Caenorhabditis elegans: one gene and its partner. The protein of the gene in region 1 purifies or fractionates together with the protein of each later gene. This does not show direct contact. Each region holds a gene or a part of one and is shown on either strand. Other genes may lie near its edges. The genes, in order: C08G9.2 and R04B3.2.

Region 1 (5,215 bases):
TCACAAAAGGAGAAAAAGAGGAAACGTTTCTGAATTGAAAAGATTTGATGTTAACGTCTTGGACGGTCTCATGGTTCAGAGAGTTTTCAACAACAAATTTCTATTGGAAATTCTTTCATTTCATCTCCATTTTTCTTGTTTACTTTTTTGCAGGTAAACCCGCGCAAATAGTTGAAGTTGACACAATGTCAAAATGAGCGCGAATACCAATTAAGAAAGGTCAGATCGTTGGCATCGGTAGACAGACAACAATGAAAAAAATAGATTCCAGATGCGTTTGATTTGAAGATAGGAGGAAAGGAACAAAAGATGGTGGGCAACGGGAACCAAGTCACACTTATCAAATTAAAGGAATTAATGGGAATTCAAATGTATTAGCTGCAGTAGTCAATAACATCGAGATTTACAAGAAAATTATCTTTGAACAAATACGATACACAACGCTGAAACGGTGTGATACATAGCATGCAGCAATTGCCGTTCGGTAATCGACTTTTCGACGATTTCGGCAATCGCTGAAATTGTCGATTACAGGAAATCAGAATTGCCGAAAATATAAATGTGATATTTTTTGTAGATTTAGGAGCCCAAACATGAATTTTAATGAACAATGTTCTCTCTTTTCAAGCTCAAAATGATTTAATACTTGAAGGGTTGCCCGTTTTCTTTTAGAGAATGACTAACCTAATACAATAATTTTTGAGACATTTTCAAGTTGTCTCAATAGGTATTTAGGATCAATTTTGATTCTAAAAACAATCACCCAAATTTTGCTACTCCATCTTTAAGTGGAAAAATGAAGTAATATCGTTCCTGTTTTTCCATTTTAGTTTCGAAAATGATACAAGTTCAATTTCAAAAGTTGAAATATTCAGTTACTTTTTATAAATCTCATGTCTCTTTCATATCCCGCTAGTAATTCAATTCATATGAGCAGTCGACTACCATTTTGGAAGATAAACAATACAAATACGGGTTGCGAGAGACGAAGAGATCTCCAAGTGACACTTATACCGAAATGAGCGAAAGAGTTAGCGAATACATTTGTTTTGCGTACTATTAGCAGAGCTTTGAAACAGGGCGCAGCCTAAATTTGGGAGAGAAAGAAGATTTGTACGATTACGGAATAGAATATCCTACAGTAGAAAGTTAAAAAACATTACAAAATGAAATGTGCTTCATTAGGACAAAACAATATATTTTATTGTAAAACTAGTGGAAAAGAAAAAAAAAAAAGAAATGAAGAAGTAGTATTGGACTCCAAAAATATGATGTTTGATACTTTTCTGAAATGTGATAGTTTTGGAAATTAATGCGCGGATTTTTCTGAGCATTTTCTGAATCCATCGACTTTTTTAAAACTACATACCACATCTCATCTATTAATTTTAAATTTAATTTTTGCGGAAATTCCCACAGAGTATAGCCGGTCTGTCGGAAAATCAGTGCATGACAAACTAGAAGCTACAAAACTAATAAGGGAAATACGGGTTGTTTCAAACTAAATGCTTATGTTCGAATTGCAATATTTCATTCTGACTACCTTATTAATTTTCCCTTATTTTCCTGTTTTCAGAGCTCATATACATAAAGTTCACTTAAAAACCAGAACTAAAAAATCACGTACCGTTTTTGAAATTGACACACAATGTAATTTCACAGTTGGACGGAGCAGAAATCAAGGTTAGAAACATTTTCACAGTCTGTACTAGTTTTGCATTATATTTTCCTGTAATATTTTGATTTTCAAAAATCCAAAACCAAGATCCCTTTCGTACATCCCGTGATTGATTAAACAACAATGAGATTTCGAAAAGTCAGCATTTCTGCTCGAAAATCGTGTATCAAATCACCTTTGACCCTGTAGCTCATCATATCTAAACATTTTACAATCTTTTGATTCTTCATTCACATAAATCCAGTGGACCTCTTCCGTATTACATCAACTTCCTCGTAATATTTACAAATCTGTCGGAAGACAGTTTCGCACCTCACACCGCAAAAGTGGGCGGCGTGTCCGTGGCGGTGGTGGCCGGGGGTTGCAATGTGTCCACTCAACAGAAGTAACCTGTCTCTTTTCCCTCAATCCACCTGTCATCTTTTACTATCCTAAATTGACCATCACATCTTTTATTCTTATCACTTCCGGATGTCAAATGAGCAATTATGTGGTTACTGTATCTTTTAATTCTGAAACCATTTTTGTCGTCTTCTATAGACCTTTTACCGGCAAGTGTACCAAATGTATGTCCTTTCCGTCCAACCAGTTGTAATTTATTATGCCCTTTTGGATATTTGAAAGATATTCTTCAACAATGTATCTGCACATGTGCAATGGATCCTTGCCAGGTTAGGCTTTTTGAAAGATCTCTGATATTTTTTTGAATTCTTCTAACACTCTATAATATATTTAACGAGAAATAATTGTTCTTAATAATATTTTACTTTCTATATTAATGTTTTAGACGACAATTTGTGGACCATCAGAAAGTTGCATTGCAATTGGCGTGAAAGCACGCTGCATTCCAAAGTTCGGTAAGTGTACATCCAATTATGGTGCGTGACCAGTCTCTTTTGGGAAGAGAAGTGACAATTATCTGGCTACTACACGGCTAAGCTAGTATTCGGACACGTTTTTGTGAATACTCTGTTCCTTTTTTGCCAAAGATTTTTCTCGATTTTCTATAAAAGACAATTGAAAAACGAAAAAAAAACGAACAACGGTTACATCACATAATAACCTTCTATATTAGAATTTCTCAAAAAATAAAAAATCAACTCATGTCCTTAACAAGAAAAACTAAAAAATGCATTTAATTTCTTCAAAATTACAAAAAAGAAATGTACATATGTATTAAAGTTAATTTCAAGATAATTCCAAGAATCAAGATAAATTTTTTGAAAATTCAAAATTGAAAATGAATTTTTGATAACATAATTTTTGTATTTTTTGTTTTCAAGTATGAAAGCTCATTACATATTTTTTGATTCAGGATCAAATCGAGAAGAATGCCCACGATTAACTGGTGGTATATGTGCACTTCGATGTGAAAAAGACTCTGATTGTAGTGGTCGGTTGATCTGTTGCTCGAACGGATGTGGACGAGAATGTGTTGCTCCAATTGCTAAAAGTTTTCAAATCGACAGAGAAGTTCCAATTCAACCAGTTTCTTCATCATCTAATAACATCCCTGGTTCCTTTCAACGTCTCATTAAAGCTGTATCAAATATTGGATCAACTCATTTCAATATAACTCCAATTCCACCAACGATACGAAATCTTGCGAACTCTCTATTTCCAACTCCTTCACCAATTCGTCCACTTCCTACAACAAAAGTCGGTCAATGTCCTTCTCCAACATCAAATAAATCAATATGCATTGATCAAAAACAATGTGCAAATGATTTGGATTGTGGTAGTGTTGATAAATGTTGTCAAAATGCATGTGGATCAACTTGTATGGAACCTCTCAAAGCAACTGGATGTATTCATATGGTTCTAGCAATTTCGAAATTAAAAGATAAAAGACTTCCAAATGAATTTGTTCCATTTTGCGAACGAAACGGACGATTCTCATCAATTCAATGTGATATTCAGTTTTGTTGGTGTGTCGATGTACATTATGGCTCAGAGATAGCTGGTACAAGAATAAGTCGAGAACAACGAAGGATTGATATGTGTAGAGGTATTTGATGTCTTGGAACATATATTTTTGGAGAAAATCAATTACACTATTGATTTTTAGAACCCCGTTTATGTACGAAAAAGTGCCACAATCAATGTACTCATGGACACGTTATGGACATTTTCGGATGTCCTATTGCATCATGTTCTTGTGTGGATATTTGTAGAAATGTTAATTGTGAAAATACTTGGGAGCAGTGTCAGCTGGTTGAGCCCGATTGTGCAAATCCTCCATGTCTCCCTGTTCCGCGATGTTTGATTCAAAAACGTTACTTCAAAGATATATAAAGTTTGTTTCAGGTCTGTTGAACCCATGTAGGCACGGACCACCTTCTCGTCTTGGAAATGGAATTACAGCATTGTGTTCTATTGATAAAGATTGTCCCGAAGGAACTTGTTCAAAGGTACTAGATACTTTGAAAGAAGTGTGCATATTTATAGAACTTTCAGATTGGCTACAATGGACTTGGATTTTGTTGTTCGGGTCCAGCGTCATCTACACGAGACGGAAGATGTCCTTCCCAAGCCGCTGACAAATTAAAGTGTCTCATCTACCCTGATAATTCATGTCACTCGGATCACGAATGCTCTGAAGATGAGAAATGCTGTTTCAATGGCTGCACTTTATCTTGCACACAGCCTGAAGATTATGTTCTGAAAAAACCATTGAAACCAATTGAGCCAGTGATGCATTACCAACCGGGCGATGTTGAGAAGTATAACAAGGGACATTTGAGCTCTTTGGTAGCAGATTGTATTGATATCATTGCATCAAATGTTAGCTGTGCAACTGAATGTCATTCTGATTCTCAATGTGCTGGAATGAAGAGATGTTGTAGACAAGGATGTTCAACTTCGTGTATGTATCCAGTTCGGAGCACCCGTGAGTTTGATATTCGTTGGGTTTGGTATCAACTACATCATTTTCAGCTTGCTTTCATCTTGCATTGACAGCTGAATTGTATTCATTAAGAAATGCAATGAAGTGTGACAGGGCAGGAAATTTTGAACAATACCAATGTGACGATGAAGGATGTTTTTGTGTGGACATAGCAACTGGAGAAGAGCTGCCCGGATCGCGAGCCATTGGAAGAAAACCGAACTGTGAAAGTGAGTCGAGCACTACTTTCCAGATGCGTCTACAATATTAGCATAGATATTTTCTCTGACCTTTTTTAATTATTCCGCTTTCAGGTAGAAACCCATGTGAACCACTGGTTTGTAAAGTAGCATGCCCATTTGGTTTTGAAAGAGGATCAAACTCCTGTCCAACCTGTAAATGCAAAAATCCATGCAAAGAAGTAAAATGTCCACAAGGAAGTGTATGCGTTATGAGCTCAATTCAATGTTATCAGAAGGGAAACTGTGTTCCACAACCTAGATGTGTTCTGAACTTTTGTCCAGCCGGAGAGCCATATATTTCCAGTATTGGAAATGCTGAAAGTTGTACAAAAGATGAAGAATGCCCAACTTCAACTCACTGGTGTCATAAACTTGGATTGGCATCTGGAGGAATGTGTTGCCTATCTC
Region 2 (4,645 bases), on another chromosome or scaffold:
CACATGTTTTATTTTACTTAAAAATGACTTAAGATTCGTTCTGTCTCCACTTTGAACTGCGCTTCTTTTGCTGATAAATGCCGCTGGTCTAATACTCAAGAAGAAGAACTTGATTGGACCACCTTAGCCGAATCACCTCAAGCAGCTTCATTCCTACCAACGTTGGATGTGCAGAATTTGCCAGGTACTCTTTACATTTTTATCTTTACTTTGTCTTAATACTTTCGAGTTTTCAGGTCAATCCGCAGGTTCGCTTACTTCTCCTGCTAGAAACGGATGGGAAAGCGGTCAACTCATATCTGATGCTTTACCTTGTATGACAACTGGTTTGAGGGTCACCGCAACTGCGTGGAGAAGTAAAGTTGGGCCTGGTGGTGAACAGCCAAAGTTACAGGTAACTTTGAGTTTTCCCCACAAGCACGTAAATATTTCTTGTTCAGATTTGTGTCAGGAATTCGAACGAAGAAAAGTTCCCGCTAATTAATTGCAACGAGTTTGAAATTAGAAATGGTGTTCCTATGACAGCGGATATCCCAACCCCTAATGACCCTAACCTCCCAACTCAGGTATTGAAACAGAATATATATTGAAAATTTTATTTTTCTTTTAGTTGGTATTTTCTGGCAACAATTTCATAGCCAAGGAAGGTGGCGCAATTTTCATTCAGGACATTGTGATTGAAGGATCATTGAAGTGTAACGGAGAGACTCTTGATAGTCATCCTGTACTCATTTCAAATCCCCCATCAAGAGCGAATGAAAATGATAAGAGAAGTTTTGCAGAATCGGTTGGATCATTAAAGGTACCCTTTTATTCGCCTGCAATTTTATTTATTATTTAACCTAAACATGAATAGTGTTCTAGGGAGTCGTAGGAATTCCTGGGCTAGAAGCAATTGACGCCGGACTTCCTGCTAACCTCGATGAGCAGCGAATTGCAATAGCAGCTCTGCAAAGATCACTTCAAAGCAACAGCGTAGTAGAGCAGCAGCCAAAATCTGCGGCTGATATCCAATCAGTGATCTCTCCTGTCGCACAACCTGCAGTGGTGCAAACTGCTCCGCAAACCCCAATGACGTCAGCTGAATCATTATCAACTGTCCCATCACTCTTTGAAAGTTGCTTAGCATTGTCATGTAATCCATCTGACTTGAGTTGCAAGTTCTGGAGATCATCCGGTAATAACCGTTGGGAAATTGGGACGTCCGGACGGGTGGCAAATCCGCTTACTGGAATTAATCTGCCACCTGGAACAGGTAAGTCAAACTGGTTTTTTATGAAAAATTTTGTAAGTTAATATTTGTTAAGCTCAAAAGTTCTTGGTCGCACCATTCTTCGACTCTCATATCAGCAGTTACACACTGGTATCAGAAGCCTTAAACGTTCCACTTTTGGAGGAAGTTTACTTTTGCTTTTATGAGTATTATGCAACAGAGGGTCTTTCAATTGCAATTTGCACTGACAAAATGGATTGTTTCTACAAAAAGAGTGGCTTGACTATGGGCGAAGGATTGAGGGAGAATAAAAAGTGGAACATTCGGTGTTCAAAACTTCCACCCGGCACATATGAAGTAAGTTCAAATTGCATATGAACAAAATCTCATTGAAATAATCTATAATTTTCAGCTTCGCGTGATTGCTGAAAATGCCGGTGAAAATAAAGGAGAAGTTGGTTTTCTACCAATTCGTCTGTCTCGTGATTCCAAAGGTCAGCAACTCATCTGTTAGATCGTATAACCATATAACTTATTTAATAATTGTATAAACCGTAAACATTTCAAATCATTTTCAACTGTCTTTCATTCTCTTTTTTGTCTCAATGTTATTTTATTGAACCAATAAACAAATCCACAAACAACATATGGTTTTATTGTCTGCAGATGAGACATTGGGACATTCGACAGCAGATGTCACCATTTGCAAAGAACGCTCGATCGCTCTAGATACTATCTTGCCGCCACATCTTTCATCGATTTTTCAAGTCTTAGCAAATAATAGTATATACTACTCTGAAAACTCACTCTGAAAAATGCGACGGTTTTATATTTTTCTCCTTCTAATTCCGTATATCAATGGGACCATCAATGATGACAGTTTGCCAATGGTCATCACAACATGGGGAAGTGATGGTTTTAAAAAAGCTACGAAAAATGGTTGGTATTTTTAAAATGATTTTCCCAAAATATCAATTCATAATTTTTCAGCGGTGGATGCCACTTTACTGGGAGGTCGTATGTTTGGCTTAGTCGAAGGATTGTCAACTTGTGAGGCTCTCCAGTGCGATACAACCGTTGGATATGGAGGATCACCAGATGAAAATGGTGAAACCTGTTTAGATTCGCTGGTTATCGACGCGTCAGTAAGCTCTTCTATGGTAGTTATTGAAAACATTTTTTGTAGGGATGGAATGCGAGTGGGCGCTGTTGCAAACCTTCATCGTATTCGAGATGCCGCAAGAGTTGCCTGGGGTGTCATGAACTTTACCAAACATACATTGTTGGTTGGAGAGTCTGCCACTCAGTTTGCAAAGACTTTGGGCTTTAAAGAAGAAGACTTGTCCACCGAGGAAACTAAATCTTGGATTTCAAAATGGAAAACTGAAAAATGCCAGCCTAATTTTTGGAAGGTGAATGATATGTGATTAATAATTTTTCATGTAAAAGTTGCGTAAATCGCCTATCGGCAATTTTAAAAAATGAACCAGTTTTGGATTGTTTTCCCAATTTTTCAGTAAAATTAAAAGCTAAATTATATAACAAATATTCACGACAACTGAAAAAGTGGCAAAAAGTTGTCTGAGAGATGGAAATTGCCGAAATTGTTTTGGTACGTTGTCGGATTTTTTTACTGAAAAAAGTCTGTAAACTATTTAAAAAAATAATTTTAAGACAAAGCAAGTACTTGACTATCACTACATTTTACAGTGACTCTTTCAGTAGAATTACCGGCCGGTAGTTGCCAAGCACTTTTCGTGCAAAACAGTGTTCTTCGATGATATTAATTTTGTTCTTAATCATTTTCCACATACCAAAAGTTCAACCATGCCACACGGTCAAATGTTTTAACGGATTTTTTAATGTCACAGTCACCGAGTATCTATTTCCATACCTATGCCTATACCTACATGCTTATATACCAACAAATTTTAATCTGAACAGTTTTTTGAGGTTTTAAGCTGTTTTTGAATAGTTTTGTCATAATTCCTCTAGCTTAAAGCTCTCTTAGAAAACAAAGCAAATTAGCTCCCAACACCATCAATGTTTATGTTTTCAGAACGTGTCCCCCGATCCTTCCAGCTCCTGCGGACCTTATAAAACAAATCCTTTGACAAAATCAATGCGATATTATTCACTTGTAAATCAGTCTGACGAAGCTGGATATCTGGTTGAAAAGTAGATTTTTTTTGATTAAAGCTCGTAATAAATTTCAGTTTGAAATTTAGAACAAATCATGACACAATTGGAATGGTGGTACGCGACACGGAAAACATATTCAGCGCCGGAACATCATCAAATGGAGCTAGATTCAAAGTGAAAAAAGCAAAAATAAATAAATAAAATTTCAATTTTTTTTTTGTTTTTAGATTCCCGGTCGAGTTGGTGATAGTCCGATTCCGGGTGCTGGAGCATATGCAAACAAGTTCGGTGGAGCCGCCGCAACTGGTGACGGTGATGTCATGATGAGGTTTTTACCAAGCTTCTTTGCTGTAACACAGATGGAACTGGGTACAAAGCCATCAAAAGCAGCTTATAAGGCGATAACTCGAATTCTGAAAGTTTTCCCGAAATTTTCAGGTAGCACACTTTGACAATTTTTTTTCTGAAATTTTTTCAGTGGCTTTTTTCCAGGCGCAGTCGTTGCAATGAATGTGAAAGGCAGAATCGGAGCCTCGTGTGCGAATATTAATAAATTCGGATACAATGTGGCTTTTCAAAACGGAACGGTGGTGACCTACTCCATAAGTTGTCTCAAAGAAGTTAATTCCTTGAAGTATCTCAAAGAAGGAATCGAATTTGCATGATAATATAATAATATAAAGAAATTCGTGGAATAAAACTATTTCGAGGACTGTGGATTAGCTTCTTATTGTTTTCAAGTTGAAAAGAAGGGGAGGGGTGGAGTTGAAATGCGGACGTTATGCATAATAAGGAAGAAGTTCAGGCTGAAGTGAAAGTAGGTGCCACAGTAGCGCAGATGGTATAATTAGCTGTCTTCGAGACTGTCGACGGTTGTCGTTGAAACAGAAGTGCAATAAATCCACTTGTTGGAAAGAAAAGTGAATCGCAGCAGTGAGTGAGTGACGGTCAATTTTCATTTCGGTGTCATTTACAAACCGGACAGCAGAAGCTGAAGGTCTCATTTCGTTTTTCTTTATTTTCCGACTTTCCATTTTTTTTTCGTATTTATTTCTAAACAAACACTCAGTATAATGAAGTGTTCCTATCGATAAACTAAATGGTATACGCGATATTTTTACTGTTATATTCAATGTATATAAGCATTGATAAAGGTAGGATTTTGTATTTTGAAAACATCGAACTGTATTGAGAGCGTGTAAAATTTGTTTCGAAATTATTTGTTTTTTGACAAAAAATTAAAGCCTGTAGACCCAAAATGTACTAAAATAAGCCAATTTTGTAATAAAA

The links.
Region 2: the proteins of C08G9.2 (region 1) and R04B3.2 fractionate together in Caenorhabditis elegans (co-fractionation; one large-scale study listed by BioGRID). This does not show direct contact.

What each region holds. Positions count from the first base shown.
Region 1 is NC_003282.8:7,669,831-7,675,045, reverse strand, and holds the start of C08G9.2 (uncharacterized protein), read left to right. Parts: upstream 1-2,073; 5' UTR 2,074-2,166; coding exon 2,167-2,349; intron 2,350-2,465; coding exon 2,466-2,535; intron 2,536-2,536; exon of another isoform or gene 2,537-2,653; intron 2,654-2,993; coding exon 2,994-3,686; intron 3,687-3,746; coding exon 3,747-3,938; intron 3,939-3,985; coding exon 3,986-4,089; intron 4,090-4,135; coding exon 4,136-4,568; intron 4,569-4,615; coding exon 4,616-4,795; intron 4,796-4,879; coding exon 4,880-5,215.
Region 2 is NC_003284.9:2,470,968-2,475,612, reverse strand, and holds R04B3.2 (Glycosylasparaginase beta chain), read left to right. Parts: upstream 1-1,894; 5' UTR 1,895-2,028; coding exon 2,029-2,152; intron 2,153-2,203; coding exon 2,204-2,354; intron 2,355-2,399; coding exon 2,400-2,625; intron 2,626-3,272; coding exon 3,273-3,391; intron 3,392-3,441; coding exon 3,442-3,529; intron 3,530-3,582; coding exon 3,583-3,793; intron 3,794-3,847; coding exon 3,848-4,020; 3' UTR 4,021-4,073; downstream 4,074-4,645. Other genes in the region: R04B3.3 (MAM domain-containing protein), read left to right, coding at 34-184, 237-394, 441-566, 611-802, 865-1,255, 1,308-1,570, 1,626-1,727; R04B3.1 (MAM domain-containing protein), read left to right, coding at 4,455-4,509.